2 linked regions of the Neodiprion lecontei genome follow. Each later gene encodes a partner of the first gene's protein in a complex. Links are inferred from orthologs where the notes say so. Each region holds a gene or a part of one and is shown on either strand. Other genes may lie near its edges.

Region 1 (7,153 bases):
TGATAGAGCCCCTGAAAAAAAAATTTGTACATGCGTTTTTTTTATTCTGCTAATTTTGCAAAGATTATGCCATGAATGAATACACAAGCAATTAAGTCAAATAGGATTGTAAAATTTTTGTTTAAATTTGTAGCTCAATTCGATTTGACATGAGGTGCCCACAACAGGTTTTGGAAAATGTAACGAAAACTTTATCTGATGTAATTTGTTATTTTATTGACAGGTGAGGCTAAACAAGCTACACTATTCAAAAAGTAAAATTTTGCGATGAAAAGGTAGAGATAATGCATCGCAATTGAATCGTAAGCGATATTTCCTGTAATTCTCTCATATGCTAGACAGTACCCTTTTTGATAAGTCAGAATCGAATATTGAATATAGGTAAATATGAACTTACGGCTTCTCTTTTTTCGTAAACAGCTCTTATATGCTGGTGCACATTAGGATATCGTGGTGGCAGTTCATACCTGGTGTAGCCACGCCCCATGGTAACATATCTGGTCCCATCAGTGGATACTTTCAGCCGATCTCTGAGAAAGGTTGAAAAGTATTGATGACAGCAAAACTTTAGTGTAAAAAATAAAGAGCGCAACAAACCTTACCTAGTCCACAAATTATTTGTATGTAAAAAAGGTTCTGCATTTTCATATGGATTATAATAAGCTGGATCATTGGGAACTGGATATAAACAATCATCCTCCTCATAGTACACAGGATCAGAAACAGGATCACTAACAGCCCTGTGCACCAATGCAGCCAAATTCTTACCACGACCCATATTACAGGTACTGCAACGCAGTTATTAAAATCAAAATTTTAGTTTTGTTACACAGTTTTACTAACAGATTTGGCTATGTGAGATAAATTTTTCGAGTCAACAGTATTGAGGGATAAATTGTTCATTTCGATGAAAAGTTATCCATAACTATACCTATGCTCTACCCATTGAGAGTAATATACACAAGTTATAAATCATTTGTAGAAGTTTTTAACTGTCTTTCGATTAGATTATGTATCCTTAGATAACTCACGGCGGTGCAGCATGTCGTGGAATCTGTTCAGGACTGAGGTACTCCCTCGGCTGGTTCTCTGGATTGCACGTAAAAGGTACTGGTTTGGATTCTATTGTCCGGCGAGGGCCCATATTTCGATCGAGTCGTTCCTCACGTTTCTTTGCAAATGTTACGCGAAGTTCCAAAGGTTTGACGCCATGGACCTCTCTGATGGCCTTTTCTGCCTCACGGAAACTCGTATAGCTCACAAACGCCCAGCCAGCATTCGGAGGGGATATAACACTGGACGGTGTGCCGTAATTCGCGAAAAGATGGGATACACCATCCTAAACAATTGGTTATTACGTAACGCTATGACAATTTCACTCGTTTCGGCAATTCGTATTTACGTGTTAGTCAAAATGGGGTATTAATCCAAAAATTGTAAACGAATGGATACTTTGTCATGAAGAATGTAACATGCAGTTGAATGGAGTTGTGAAAAGAACATTGCACATGTTGAACTTTGCATACCTGGTCTAGCTCTGCTGGGATATTCGACACGTAGAGTTTATACTCCGTTTCCGGTCCTCCCCTGTAATTATAAGATGACATGACATGCGAATTGCTGCAGTATTAAGCCGGGATCACGACATGGATGTAATATTGCAAGTGGTTTAAATTTCAAACCTAGCATAAGGCGTCAGATTCATTCCAGGTCCGTGCTCGTACGAATTGACGTTGGCGTCGCGGTAATGAGCAGCCATCGGATCCCAATTGTCTAAATTATTAGCCCGTGCCATTGCGTCTTGACGGTCAACCGTCCTCGAAATCTGAAAGGACGCTAGCAATCTTATCGCTCAGTTAGTTACGTTAATCGGGTAGGTATATACTGTTGACCACGCACTTTCTTTGCTTGTCACGTCACAATTACGCAGGCTTCCGAATAAGCACGTGGTATCGCTATTCACTTCTATTTACACGGTGTTTTCTTTTATTCTGCACTCTTTTAGCTGGACCGTTAAAAGTATGAAAACGAGTCGAATAGGGCAGAGGATTCAAGAAATAGCGGCACGTGGTACGCTCGGAGAAGTGCGTCTAATATGCTAAGTGCAAAAAGCCGACCGCATGCATGAAATTCTCTCTGCGCATGTGCACCATTTTGAATTTACAAGCTTTATTGTGTCGGACAAGTTACATCCAAGTAGAACTAATCGAAATATGCGCTTACCTTCTAGCTCAACTTGAATCGTAATTTCGGTTTCGTCTACGCTGATTATAAATGTCTTCGAATTTATTTACTTGGTATATTTTGAATCTTAATGTGCACGAGAAAATGGAACGAAACTTTCTTGGATCGTTGACTAGAGTTTCGGTATTCTAGAAACGCAAATCCGCACACTGCAGTCTACGCCTCGACTGTTAGGTTTTCACGGGCAGGAAAATGCTGCCGCCAGCCGCAGTATTTTGTTGCCTAGTTCTTGACCAATAGGAATGCCAAGAAAATAGATAATTCGTCTTTCGCGTGCACAGGTAGCGCTAGAGTCCGTAAGACCGTGGTAGGGACTCTCGGTAACGCTCGCCTGCTTTATTGACATTTCTATTGGTCAAAAATTCGGCAGCAAAATACTGCGGTGGCAAATCTGTGCCAGTGAAATTCCAGCCACTGGCCTCCTGACTTCTCGTTGATGACAGCACCGTACAGTAAATTCATTTATGCCTTCCTTTTCCGACTACCTTGTTTCGGTCCAATACCAAATGCGTCACCTAGGTATATAGACTGGATAGTTGACGCTTGGATCTGTACGTTACTGAAGTCTGACTGAGGTATAGAGATCAGTGTGTATATTCGACGCCGTAAACATGGCGGATGCTGCGGCTCGGCAGCTTCAATACGAATATAAAGCGGTAATTATTACTATTTCATTACAAGAAATGTGCTAAAGTACGACTGTAATACAAAGAAAAAATTTTGTGCAACACTTATTGTTCCAGCGTCTAAGTTACGATTAAAATTTGAGAACTCTGCTTTCGTACGAAAAACGTTCCGTCGTATAGGTTATATTTCTAGTTGTATTAATTGGTTGCCAAAACATAACTTACTTGTTGTACGTGTTTTGGAAAAACACTTTGGTGATTTAAGACTTTTTGTTCCAGAACTCCAATCTTGTCTTACAAGCTGACGTACGGCTTATAGAAAGACGTAGCAGAGATGAGGCGACTGGAGAAGTTATGTCCCTTGTGGGCAAATTGGATGGAACCAGGATGGGCGATAGACATCAAAGGACGAAACCAGGCAAAGCAGAAGAGCGTAAAGTGAAGTGAGTGAAGATGTAAATTTGCATAGCACTATTCTCACATTCAGTAGCAAAGCAAATTACTAAAATGCATTAGGTATTAAAATGAAAAATTTAAATTGAATCATTAACGACTGTAATACGGTACAACTTTTCTCAGACGTCAAAAACGTGATGAAGCGCAATATGACTTCACTCGTATGAAGGGTGCCACTCTCTTGTCAGAGGGTGTTGATGAAATGGTAGGAATTGTATACAGACCCAAAACACAAGAGACTCGTCAGACGTACGAAGTGTTACTGAGTTTCATTCAGGAAGCATTGGGCGATCAACCACGTGATATTCTCTGTGGTGCTGCTGACGAAGTATTAGCTGTGTTGAAAAATGATAGATTAAAAGAAAAGGAGAAGAAAAAAGAAACAGAGTTGCTGCTTGGTGGTTTAGCAGAAGAGAGATTCGCCCTCTTGGTTAATCTGGGGAAAAAAATCACGGATTTTGGCAGTGATGAAAAGACTACAACAAATGAAGAGAACATTGATGAGACATATGGTATAAATGTTCAGTTCGAAGAAAGCAGCGAAGAGGATGATGAAGATGTGTACGGAGAGGTTAGGGAAAATGACGATGAAGGGGATGAAGGAGAAGAAGCAAACATTGATCGTGCAATTCACGCGGAAAACGTATGTATCTAGTCAGTTTAGTTGAAATATTCATCAAGTCTGAAGTTTTTTAGTCATATAAACTTTTAACAATTCTATGTAATTGCATTTTTATTCAACTCTTTTCTATTCATATGTACAATTTTAATATCAGATATTACAGTATAGTATCTTAATTTTTTACATTCAGTAACTGTTTCTTTACCCTTCAAACAGCTTGGTGGTGCGGAGGAAATGAAGAAGGAAAAACCACTTCATCCGTTAGATATCGATGCTTATTGGCTTCAGCGGAGATTGAGCAGAATATACGATGATGCAATGGTATCCCAAGCAAGAGCTGCTGAGGTATTAGCAGTGTTACGAGATGCGGGTGATGATCGAGATTGTGAAAATCAGCTGGTTCTCCTGTTAGGATATGATTGCTTTGATTTTATCAAACAGCTTAAAAAATATAGACACATGAGTGAGTATCAAGCAACACTCACCTTTATAATTACAGAGCTAATATTTATGAATCATTAAATAGTTGAAACAGAAAGATTACAATTTGAACATTCATTAAAATTTATCTAGTTTTTTGGAAGTTTAAATATTCTGACTATTCTTACAGTTGCCTATTGCACGATGTTGGCATCGTCTCAATCCGAATCGGAGAGACAAAAGATAAGAAATAAAATGAATGATGATTTGTCTCTGGCAAAGATCTTGCGTCAGCTAGACACGGGAAAGGGTGATGATGATGCTGAAGAAACAATGGAAGCACGTGCACAACGCAAGCGGCTGGAGGAGAACGAGGATGGAGCTGGTGGTCCTGGTGGTCAAGTTCAAGGATCGAGAAATCTGATTGATTTAGAGGATTTGATATTTGCTCAGGGAAGTCACTTTATGGCCAACAAACGTTGTCAGCTACCAGATGGAAGTTTCAGAAAACAAAGAAAAGGGTAATATATTTTTTATTTTAATGATGAACAAATTTTTGGTAGAAAATCGCTACTATTTGAAACTGAACAAGCTAACACTTCAAATCTCTCATCTCAGGTACGAAGAGGTCCATGTCCCAGCACTGAAACCAAAGCCATTCGGGGAGAATGAGAAACTGCACCAAGTTGATCAGCTTCCGAAATACGTACAGCCGGCGTTCGAGGGTTTCAAAACGTTGAACAGAATTCAGAGTCGGCTTCAAAATTCGGCGTTGGAAAGCGATGAGAATCTGTTGTTATGTGCGCCAACTGGAGCAGGTAAGACAAACGTCGCCCTGCTCTGTATGATGCGAGAAATCGGAAAACACATAAACGCCGACGGAACGATAAACGCTGACGAATTTAAGATAATATACGTTGCGCCAATGCGGTCGCTTGTACAAGAAATGGTAGGAAACTTTGGAAAGCGTTTGGCAAGTTACAATTTGATCGTGTCTGAACTCACGGGTGACCATCAGCTGACAAGAGAACAAATCGCGGCAACACAAGTAATAGTTTGCACACCTGAGAAATGGGATATAATAACTCGTAAAGGAGGCGAAAAAACTTTCACGTCTCTTGTCAGATTGGTGATTATCGACGAGATTCATTTACTCCACGATGAGCGAGGCCCAGTTCTCGAAGCGCTGGTTGCCAGAACCATAAGAAACATTGAAACAACCCAGGAAGATGTGCGGCTAGTCGGTTTATCGGCTACCCTTCCAAACTACCGAGATGTAGCTGCGTTTTTGCGGATAAAACCAGAAACCGGATTGTTTTACTTTGACAACAGCTACAGGCCAGTTGCTCTGGAGCAGCAGTATATTGGTGTGACTGAGAAAAAGGCACTGAAGAGATTCCAGGTGATGAACGAGATTGTGTACGAAAAAACGATGGAACATGCAGGAAGAAATCAAGTCCTAGTATTTGTTCACTCCAGAAAAGAAACTGGGAAAACTGCCAGGGCCATCAGAGACATGTGTCTTGAGAAAGACACGCTTGGTCAGTTCTTGCGTGAAGGATCTGCGTCGATGGAAGTACTCAGGACTGAAGCTGAGCAGGTTAAGAATCAGGAACTGAAAGACTTGCTTCCGTATGGTTTCGCTATTCACCACGCCGGAATGACCAGGGTCGATCGTACCTTGGTCGAGGATTTGTTCGCCGATCGACACATTCAAGTTTTAGTATCTACCGCAACTTTGGCATGGGGAGTCAACTTGCCAGCTCACACAGTAATTATCAAAGGCACGCAGGTTTACAACCCAGAGAAAGGTCGCTGGGTGGAATTGGGCGCGCTTGATGTCCTGCAGATGTTGGGGCGAGCTGGTCGTCCACAATATGATACTAAAGGTGAGGGAATACTGATAACGAACCATAGCGAGCTCCAATATTATCTCTCGCTTTTGAATCAGCAACTCCCTATTGAATCTCAGCTTATAAGCAAGATGTCAGACATGCTGAACGCGGAGATTGTGCTTGGAACAATTCAAAATATACGAGATGCTGTTACATGGCTCGGATACACTTATCTCTACATCAGGATGTTGCGGTGCCCACAACTCTACGCCATACCTCATGATAAACTTAAGGAAGACCCGTTGCTAGAGCTACACAGAGCGGATTTAATACATTCAGCTGCTCTGGGATTAGACAGAAGTGGATTGATTAAGTATGATAGAAAATCTGGACATTTTCAGGCGACCGAATTAGGTAGAATCGCGTCCCACTATTATTGTACGCACGATACCATGTCCACTTACAATCAACTCCTCAAGCGTACTTTGAGCGAGATTGAACTGTTCAGAGTGTTCTCATTATCAAGCGAATTCAAGAATATCAACGTCAGGGAAGAAGAAAAATTAGAGTTACAGAAACTGATGGAAAGAGTACCCATACCTATAAAGGAGAGTATTGAAGAGCCGAGCGCCAAGGTCAACGTTCTTCTTCAGGCTTACATATCTCAATTGAAGCTTGAGGGTTTCGCACTAATGTCTGACATGGTATACGTTACGCAGTCAGCATCCAGACTGATGAGAGCTATTTTTGAGATTGTCTTGTTCCGAGGCTGGGCTCAGCTAGCGGACAAATGTCTATCCCTCTGTAAAATGATCGATCGAAGGATGTGGCAGTCAATGTCGCCGCTTAGACAGTTCAGAAAAATGCCCGAGGAAATAGTGAAGAAGATTGAGAAGAAAAACTTCCCGTGGGAGAGGCTTTACGACCTTGGACCAAACGAAATCGGGGAA
Region 2 (9,978 bases), on another chromosome or scaffold:
TTCTTGCGATCTGGTGTACGAAGATCATGCAAGTGGTGCAAGTTAGGTATCAAAAGAGAGAGCACTTTGAGGACCAATGTTCAATTTCTTCCATAGGGTGTTTTACCCATGAAGTATCTGAGAGATGAGAATGCAGCGTATACAGCGGGTGCTTTAATAGCCAATCTCAAACAACTGAAACACCAGGTGAGGGGAAACCGAGTGCTCAGTCACGGATCCGATAGCGAGCCACACCTAAGGGAAACAAGTCTTTCTCAGGGAATTCACCGAGCCGAGTATCTCTTGACAGCTGGCAAGACAATGGAAGCGATAAACGAAGGAAAAGGACTAATGTCGCTTGCCAAGGAATCTCTTGTTTATTTTCGCGAGTATCACAGAGGTCGGCTCATGTTTTATTTGACAATTTCATGGCTGGGATGGATCATGCTGCTCTTTCTCAAAATCACTAACATCTCGCTCGATGAGAATCGCCCAAAATTGGTATTACTCTGGGATGTCCTGTTCGTGTGCACCTCAATCCTTCTCTTTATTGTGCACAGAGGTAAGCGGCCCTAGTTACTTGACTGCCGAATTTTTTACAGCACTTTTGCAGCGGACAAGTTTGTTAAATAATCGAAAGTTTCAGGTACAAGTGGATGGCGTTTGCAAGGGTATGCATTATTGGCACTGCTTTCTTCATGGCTTGCCACTCGAAGTTTCAGCGCTAACCCTTGTCCATCGTTCCGTGGCGGATGGTATTGGATAGGTTGTACGATTTCTCTGACGTCGATTATGTCCTTTGCTTTAACGATGAGGTGGATATTCGGAGCAGCGACTCTGTGTATGTGCGTGATACAGGGTGTTCTCTTCAAGGACGCGGATCGTTTTCTTCCCTGGACAACAATCGTTTTGGCCGCCTTTCCGCTACTACCGACCGTAGGCCCCGACACACAGACACATCTCGTGTAAGAATCTGTCAGACAATTCCCTTTGCTTGATCTTTGTCCTGTCTGATAGTCATAGAAAGATGAGGAAGAATTTTACCTTATCCACTTTGAGCATTAAGTGGTAATGTAATGTTTCAAGTATTACATTACGTACCGACTTATGGTATATGACGCACGTGACCATGTGTCACGAAAGTAATGCAAGTATTTCTTCAACAGCTTGCTGGCCTTGGTTATTGGAGGAATGACAGTGATTACCGCCGACGATCGTCACATGAATATTTCTCTGAAGGCCGTGGAAGGTGTAAGACTTACAACAACAGCCTTAATATCTTCGGGACTCGTGGATGGTCGAAGCCTCTTGTCCTGGCTAATATTAATCTCTACGCCGTTGTGCATATGCGCTTATTCGGTTGAAGTCAAGGGTAGAATATTTGGAGTAAGTTTGGCATTTTTACCAACCCTTGCCTTACTCTCCGTATCGTATGAGCCACTCTTCCTTATCGCGTTGACGGGTCATCTTCTTTGTTGGCCTATGACTACTGACAAACGTTGTAAAATGTGGGGATTCAAGAAGAAGGAAACCATCAGCGTGAAAGACTTTTTGGTGGCTGGATTTTTTGTATCCTTTTACCTGCTGTATGAGGTGCGAGTAAAATTTAAAGTTGCTTCAAGCTTTGTACACATCATTGGTAATCTTATATTCAGCTCAAGCACTATCTGCACCTATCAGATTGTGCATGCAAGATATGTCGGAACCTTAGATACTCTTTTTTCTTACATGTTATGTTATTATTCATTCGGACTCAGATGCTGTACGTGCTACTGGGGTTCTTTGGTACTGGAAACATAGCAAGCATTAGTTCGTTCGACCCAACATGGACAAGACATTTTCTTACAGTATTCTCGCCATTCACCATGTGTACTCTGATCGTCCTGAAGACCAGCATTCCACTATTGGTTGTTGGGTGTGGTATCAGGACCCTTGCACCGTCAAACCTTTTCATGACGACAATCCTCCTTGCCGATTGTCTAACACTGCAAGTCATGCATACGGTTACACCCCGAGGTAGCTGGATGGACATTGGTAGTGCGATTAGCAGATTTGTAATCGCAATGACGTTACCTTGTCTGATGCTACTTCTTTATCATATTTCGCGTCTCCTGGTGACGTACAGTGTGTGGAAAATCGACCATTCTCAGATTAAGCAACATGTATAGGATTCATAATGTCATGTTACAGTACAGTATGCAGTACATACAAGTGCACCAACCAAAGTATTATTGTATTGATAATATAATATTAGAGATACGTATTTCAGTACAACCTGCGTTATTTTTTAGCTAGTTTTAAATTACGCACAAGCTCGAACCACATCGGTCTTAAACCCCTGCACTGTTGTTGTTGCATGAAATTCAGTAATTCTTCGTGGTGAAAAAGGGGATTTTACACAACTGTATAAAATTACGTATGATGTATGTATGTACTACCGGCCGGAGTAGTGTCGCGCACAGGTGTGTGAGACTGTGAATCGGGAGGAATTGAGTTCAAATCCCCAGCACGACTATGAGGACCTGCGCGAAAACTCTTAACAATTGTCAGTCGGGGGCTGAGTCAGCAAGCTGAGGTTTGAACTCGGCCCAGCTACATCTGGGTAAGGTATTCTGCAGTTTTCCTTGTTTTTTATGCATTCGCGCGGATTTCTATTGAACATCCTAAGCCAGGCTGCAGGCGCCCAATCACTTTCACAAATCTATTGCCTCTCTTGCCCTGCACAAGCCGAATGGCGTACAGGGACATACCGGGTGTATGCATACAGTTTTGGCCAATTATAATGTAGCCCACGTAATGGTGGGCAAAGTGATATAAATGATCGCATTCATTTTATAATTCAGATAGAGTTCGTATATAATGTGAAAGTATTGAATCACTTGAATGACATACATACGGTAGACACATGAACAATTTTGGAATATGATTAGGGGATACGTTGACGAGACAGGTTTCAATTAGAATTTGAATTCCTTGTACTTCTTGGATGCTTTGGTCTCCTGATTCTGCTGACGTTTTCTCTTGCTCTGCAACAATAACGTATTAGGTGTGAGCTTTGAGTCACTTGAAAGTAACGTATGCACCGCGACTGAGCATACCTGGCGATTATCTTTAAAAGGGTACGCTTATTTGTGTTGGTTACACAACACGTGCAATTGGCTTATAACTGGAAGGACAGCACTGGCAACGCAAATTATCGTAATAGATCGAATAGATAATCTCCCGGTACAGTAAAATGACAATAATTTGTGATTTACAATAATTTCTACTAAAAATTCAGAATATCACCTTTTGCCTTTGTACATGATCTTGAAGCATATCGGACAAGTCCTCGCGTCGCAGGTGAGCCTGGCGCGATCTCATTGTCTCTTCGTAACGTGAAGCCATTGCCTCTGAATCAAGGTCCAGCTCGCTTGGATCAAGCGCCAATTCAACAGCTGCGTCCCTGTCACCTTTACCTTCGGCAGATGTACTACCGCCGACACCCGCTGTTCCTAGACCACCTCCGCCGGCACCCGATGCGCTTGTTCCAACGGCCCCAGATCTACGAGCAGCTGCGATGACGGAGGGGGGTGCCTGACCTCCGACTGCACCAGTCATATCGTACACATGGGTACTTCCCATCATGCTTGCCCCAAGTCCCTCTGCGCGACGCTCCTGCAAAACTTGGTATAGCGCAGGCGTGTCCCCGCCCTCCATTTCGCTCTCAATCTTCTTCTTTCTGAGCTCAATGGTTTCGGGTGTTTCTAACCCCGCCGGAATTGACGCAATACCGCTCGGTGTGACTAAGCCTTCGGCACCGGGTGTAACCAAGCCACTTGCATCTCCGGCATCGCCCTCTTTTCCTTCAATCCCGTCACCCTCATTACCCTCCTCGGCGTCGTCCTCGTCTTCGTCCTCACCCGACGACTCTGATTCCGGCTCACCCCACATACCGCGATCAACTTCTTCGTCCATCGCATCGACCCCTGGCGCCCTGGCAACACCGAATACGTCTCCGTACAACGGGCGGCCCGTCTCGTCGACGGGTGGCTTACCCCATCCGCCAGCGTGATAACCGAATGCGCATCCCTCGGGTATAGGCGCATTCAGACCAGGAATCTTGAGGTTTGGATAACTCGGCGGAGGGCCATAACGTTGCATAGCGATCAACCAAGGTGGCGGTACCTTATGACAGTTCGGACCAACCGGCATTCCCAGAGCTGTTCGTAACTCGTCGGATAATTCACCGGGCTTCTTTTCCTTCAGTCTCGTTTCGAATTCCTTACCTTCGTAGTAGAGATCGCCGTGTATAGTCATACGGGGCTTTGTCTGCCACTTGAAAAATGCGTCATGAAGTTTCTGGTAGTCAATGTCTATTTTGCCAAGTTTCGGCCTTGCCCGTTCTCGCATTTTCGCCTTTAAGGTGCGTGTGTCATCCCGTTCCTGAAGGCTCGCTCGCATTTCCGTAATACCGGTACGCTTGATAAAATCAGGCAAATCGAAAGGAGGCTTTTCGATGCCTCGTTTACCCTGTAGGTACTTGCGCTTGAAGCACCAGTGTCTTGGCACAGGTACCGTATTTCGATGAGCTTTCAGCTGCACCAAAAGTTTGGGGTCCCGCGCTGTGACGTCGTGCATCTCTACAACATCTGGACGCCCGACGAGTTGCTTCAGTTCAGCCACACTCAGGCGCGTTAGCCTCTTCAGTTTGCGTTTAGAAAGACGCGGTGTGCCTCCTTCTCCGGTGCCCTGGCCTCCACCCTGCTGATTATGCTGATTCTGCTGGGATGGGTCGTCGTCAAAGTCGTCAATAGGCGGGATTTTGCTAAGTGGACCCGCTGCCAATGTGTTTGTCAAGGGTGGATACTGGCCAATGGGTTCAATCTTATCACTTGTTGCATTTTGGCCTATGCCCGTGCCACCGCGAACTTCAGGTTCCGTCAGCTTGAACGCGTCAAAAACTCTGGCAAATTGACGATACATTGGTTCCAAGTCATTGATACTCGGGATCTCTTGGATGTACTCAATCTGCGGGTCGTCAATGTTCCTGACCTTGACATCAGGCGTCCTGGTCTCGTTTACATCCTCATTCTTCTCATCGCTGCTCTTCTTCTTCCGTTTCTTTTTCTTTTTGCGGTTCTTGGTTCCCCTCACATCCTGTCGAACCCGTGGTGCGTCTGGTTCCGGAAGTAAGTCCTCCAAGAGAATCGAGTCTGGTAGTAAGTTGTCGCGTAAGTCAGAAGCTGGGTTAGATGGATGCGATGTTTGAAACATTGCATGGCCGTGAGCGCTGTTATCGTGGTCGTCGTTCAGATCACCGCCCAGCTCCTTGGCTCTCTCAGTTTTCAATGCAAGCGCCTGTTCCAAAGCAACAGGAAGCTTGGTCGTGCTCACTATGTCGGATACACCATTTCTTCCTTCTTTGCAGAGGTCCTCATTGTCGCCATCACGCACCTCTTCGGCCTTATTACCATGCTCCTCTGGAGTTCCAGAGAGCTGCATCTCGATCGGAGGTGCAATCTTTAAATTGAGAAGACTGGGCAACGGCGCTTGTGGTATTTCAACGGCAACCGACGGCATTCCCATGGTAGTCAATTTCGGTATAGTCGGGTGTGAATGATGGACAGAAGACGGAACGCTTGCTAGCTGTTTCTGAATCTCTTGCTGTTCCATTTGCCTTAACTGACGAGGATCCAGTATTATTTGCTGTCCCTGTGCCTGAAATATATAGTTTCACTCTTGATTTAATGTCTCACAAACACAAAACCAGGAATTTTGTACAAAAAAAAAGACAAAGTACACAAGTAGATAGACCGATTTTAATATCATGTAAATTATACTTCTGTGGCTGATCTTTTGCCAATTAACCCTAATCAAGATTGAGTGGTAACGAGAAAGTCTTCAACATTGAAGTCAAAAGACAAGGTGGAAAGACCTCGAACAGAAGCCCTCTGAAAGTGCGAGAGCGGGGAAGAAAGAAGAAGCACAGTGCAGGGACATAACATGTCGTTGCGGAGCGCTGAAACTGGTTTCTTAACCAATCTATGATTGAACTCATAACTGTAGGCTTTAGTCACTGGTTTGGCCTAGCTACTAGCAGCAGTTTCAAGTCAGTCTAGATTTACGGAAATGCAGTATGTTGAAACAGTCAGTGTCTACATCTCTTCACGAGGTGCGAACCAAGGTATAGGATAACAAGTAGAATGCTACGTCTCTTCCGTTGATTGAAGATTGCTAAATACAGCCAGTCACAGGTATTGATTTGGAGCAAGCAAACAGTAACCTTGGGCACAGAGGTAATGCCATTACTAGCCTACATTTATTGTCTCACTTAGGGGTTTTACAATATTGATCAAGCTATTATCGACAGGAAATTTCTATACCCAACCTTCCCTCGAAAACTCTCACTTAGTCGCACCGAGCATCAAAATCCGATTTATCTGGCTGGCTATATCAGCAACCTTCGGTCAACGGTAGATAATACGTTATTATTGACAGACTTGACAATAGAATTTTTCACCACTTCATATAAAGACATTACGACATTACTGTAAGAAGCGATGTATGGTGGATGGAAAGTTATTATTGAGTTAATTTCATAAGTATTACTAACCTCATTCCCAAGTGCTCCATCCATTTTATACGTGTATGTGTACCCTTAAACGTACTATGTACACCTCTGCCCGCAGCAAAGTCGCCACCTACATTCGTCGATCCTCTCTGCTTCTGAATTACGGTCAGTTTCGCAGTATTTCTCGTAAAATTCAACCAAAAATTCAGCGCAAAACCAGTCCTATCCTAGTAAAGTAACACCAACTATTCACGCTGTCATTTGTATGCCTACCACTCCTAACCTCTACATACGAAATCCTATGCCTTCTTCGTTCTTCTTCTTCTTCTTTCCTGAACGGCTATTCGCCAGTCCGATGACATGTGCCAATGCCTTCCTCGTTTGCCGAGTAATCTTCAAAAAATTGCCTCATCTACACCTCTGCACTGATTACGATGTAAGCCAATTCTTGAAGTCGTGCTGTAGCGTCGGTAACACTGCTGCTGACACAAGGGCACGATACACGGAGGGTTGCAGAGATGAATTCGTCATGTTAGGCGTTGACTGATGATATATTGCTCAGTCAACGTGTTGGGTGTCCAAAGCTTCTAGATCGCAACGACTCTGGTGGTCATAACAGGGACTGAATAAATCTTCCTTCACCAAAGACTACACACCCCCCACTCCAAAAAAGTGCCGGAGTTTCCAGACCTGCGTCTACAGATCATGATCTAAACAGACAAATGAAGCTGAATAGCACAAATTTAAATCTACCCCGTTCCGTTCATTCATATGGGATTCCGGCGATCCGTACGTACCTACGTGAGACGGCACCATGACTGCATCTAGCTGTGCTTACATTCTGCGATCGGATCTAGTAACTAAATTCTAGAATTATCGGGGAGTGGCTAACGACGTCACATACGCATACGGTCCAATCTGCGGGCTCACGAGGCACCAATCAAATCACAAGATTACACTCACCTTGTGACAAACTGGTCGCAACAGTTAAGTTAAAACCGCTGCGCCGCCCTACCGGGCTGAAACCGTAGCTTTGAGATTGCTCAAAACTGTCAATTCAAAATTCAAATCAATCAAGTAGGAAACTGTTGAATACGATCGTTTAAAAGTACATAAAAACGGAAATCGCATTGTTTCTTGCCCTGCATAGTATAGAGTAACGAATAAAGTAATAATCAAGACAAAACCTATTTTACATCGCAGTAAGCTCTAACCTGACATTTGCGTCAGGTGGACCGCACGCGCTTGCGGCGTCCGTTTTTACAGGGTAGGTATGCGGTGTGCAATGGTAATAAATATCAGTATTTAGTGATCGTGTGCGTTGCCCGGCGCACAGGGTCGCTAAGGGGGCGGGACCGCTGTTGTTTGTAAATAAAAAGTTTTCCGTATTTCGCGACAGCGCTACCCTGACGACTTAGCTACTCGAGCCATGAATTCTGTCCTACAGAAGATTTTTTTACCTTATAAATGTATAAAGCATATTATAGAATTACGAATTGAGCGAGTATGATTCTTGCTGGGTCGGACCATTTTCTGCCGGGTGAGTCCACTGTTGTCTTGCTTTTCACCAGATTCGTGCACAGTCGTTTCCACATTTCCTGGAACGCTCGCTAACCCAACCAACTACCTACAATTCTTGGTCCTTGTTACTGTTTCAAAAATTTACCCTAGTGAATGGACTGATATCAGCATGCTCAATTATAATGTAACATGCACACGCAGATATGTAACTTTCAGTTTTACCGTCACACAAGCAATGTAATCAGCTATACATGCATTACAACTGTAATTCTCATTGCCTTTGCAGTATCGGTCGAGACAGCGGCGTTTCTCGGTGCTGTCGCAGGATTCGGGGCTCTCCTGCTGGTTCTCTTCCTTTACTTGTCACGGAAATGGTGTTTCACATCTTCCCCACCTGCTACTTACTTTGGTGGCGTGTGCGTACCTTTTTGCCAGTCTAATAACAGCTCGTCATCCCAACTCAGCACGAATCTTGGTAACTCAAACAATTTAGTAACCATTGAAATGGATTTTCTATGATTTTCTCTTGCGCTGCGCACATCTCCGATTGTCTCAATTATTGAGTCTGATTGTTGAGCACTAAATAAAAAAAATGTATTACCAATGCAAAGTATTACAGAAAGGAAAAACTATTCCCATCATTGAATAGGCAATAGAATGATCGAGATTTCAAAAGTTCTTACTGAAATTAAAATAGTATTACTTCCACACCTGTACTGCAACTCAATTTTGACCCAGGCAAAACATTGGATTTCCATTCGGATGTGGAGACAAGTTCAGAATCTGAGGAGGAAGCATTGCGTCAGCCTAATTTTGGATCTCATCTCTCACGTGACAGCCTTGCCATAACAGCAGATGGTCCCGGGGCAACAGGCAAGTCAAGTTCTAACTTGTCTAATAATTGCTGTTTCTATAAAAACCCGTTCATCCTTTGCATGTACAAAGTGTACACAGAAATTGAATCAGTCACTTTTTATTATATTTGACACGATATTCATTCCTTAAAAAATAACGCAGATGTTGGAAAGGTATTGAGCTGCAGTGGTACAGAAGAGAAATCACTTCTGGATCGGCAACAGGTATGCCCAATATTCGGTTGACATTATATCCTACACCACATTGGGTAAAGCAGTTCCGCGAGAATCATGCGTCGGAATTTGTCTCGCACTTCCATTTTTTTCTAGCACATCGTCAAAATATTGGAACAAGGTTGGAAATCATGCACAGAAATTTACACACCGTAATATCGGTGAGAATGAGTCATTAACCGACATATTGTGAATTATAATCAAATTTCTTAGTGTGTAGTTGAAGTGGGTACCCCCAATGCGATTGGAACCGAAGAAATGGACATTAAAGATAAAAGGGAAGAGGAAAATAAAGCAGACCGGCAGCAATGTTTGAATCATCACAAGGAATCTCCTGTACCGATTCAAGCGGAGGAAATTCACAGCTTGGAGGTGGCGTTGATATACGACGCGCCGATGCGTGAAATGACGGTCTGTTCGCCATATAAAGACACTCATTAGTAACGGCGCTGACAATTATCCAATAATCAGAAAATAGATATATAAAGTCAGATTGCCTCATCGGATCATATTGGTTTAAAGGTAATGTGGCATTGTTTGTTGCAGGTTCAAGTGCTGCAGGGACGGAATTATCCGAATATGATAGGTGGTAGTCAGGTTCGTTTGGTTTTGTTGCCATCTAAGAAACAGAGACGCAAAACCAGAGTCCGTCAAGGGACTACGCCGCAATACATGGAAAGCTTTCTGCTACATCGTGTTAATCCTGAAGACGTGAATGGGATGGGTGTCAGGCTGAGGGTGTACTGGTGGACTGGGCGTATACGGAGGGAGAGATTGCTTGGAGAGGCAAGGGTTTCTTTTGACCAAATAAATCTGCAATTGGAAACCACACTGTGG

Evidence for each region.
Region 2: putative U5 small nuclear ribonucleoprotein 200 kDa helicase (region 1) and splicing factor 3B subunit 2 share a complex: the UniProt entries of both Homo sapiens proteins name them as parts of the minor spliceosome. The link is inferred for Neodiprion lecontei from reciprocal best matches to the Homo sapiens genes SNRNP200 and SF3B2.

Annotation. Positions count from the first base shown.
Region 1 is NC_060265.1:26,203,177-26,210,329, forward strand, and holds the start of putative U5 small nuclear ribonucleoprotein 200 kDa helicase, read left to right. Parts: upstream 1-2,605; 5' UTR 2,606-2,855; coding exon 2,856-2,900; intron 2,901-3,149; coding exon 3,150-3,313; intron 3,314-3,449; coding exon 3,450-3,969; intron 3,970-4,164; coding exon 4,165-4,411; intron 4,412-4,558; coding exon 4,559-4,889; intron 4,890-4,986; coding exon 4,987-7,153. Other genes in the region: uncharacterized protein LOC107219073, read right to left, coding at 1-11, 398-530, 603-788, 1,032-1,339, 1,527-1,587, 1,683-1,795. UniProt on the Homo sapiens protein: Catalyzes the ATP-dependent unwinding of U4/U6 RNA duplices, an essential step in the assembly of a catalytically active spliceosome. Plays a role in pre-mRNA splicing as a core component of precatalytic, catalytic and postcatalytic spliceosomal complexes.
Region 2 is NC_060266.1:53,715-63,692, forward strand, and holds splicing factor 3B subunit 2, read right to left. Parts: upstream 7,243-9,978; 5' UTR 6,826-7,242; exon of another isoform or gene 6,760-6,825; 5' UTR 6,599-6,759; coding exon 6,575-6,598; intron 5,680-6,574; coding exon 3,268-5,679; intron 3,006-3,267; coding exon 2,937-3,005; 3' UTR 2,148-2,936; downstream 1-2,147. Other genes in the region: GPI ethanolamine phosphate transferase 1, read left to right, coding at 97-541, 620-944, 1,146-1,572, 1,737-2,147; synaptotagmin-14, read left to right, coding at 8,039-8,072, 8,340-8,528, 8,792-8,926, 9,071-9,132, 9,355-9,552, 9,688-9,978. UniProt on the Homo sapiens protein: Component of the 17S U2 SnRNP complex of the spliceosome, a large ribonucleoprotein complex that removes introns from transcribed pre-mRNAs.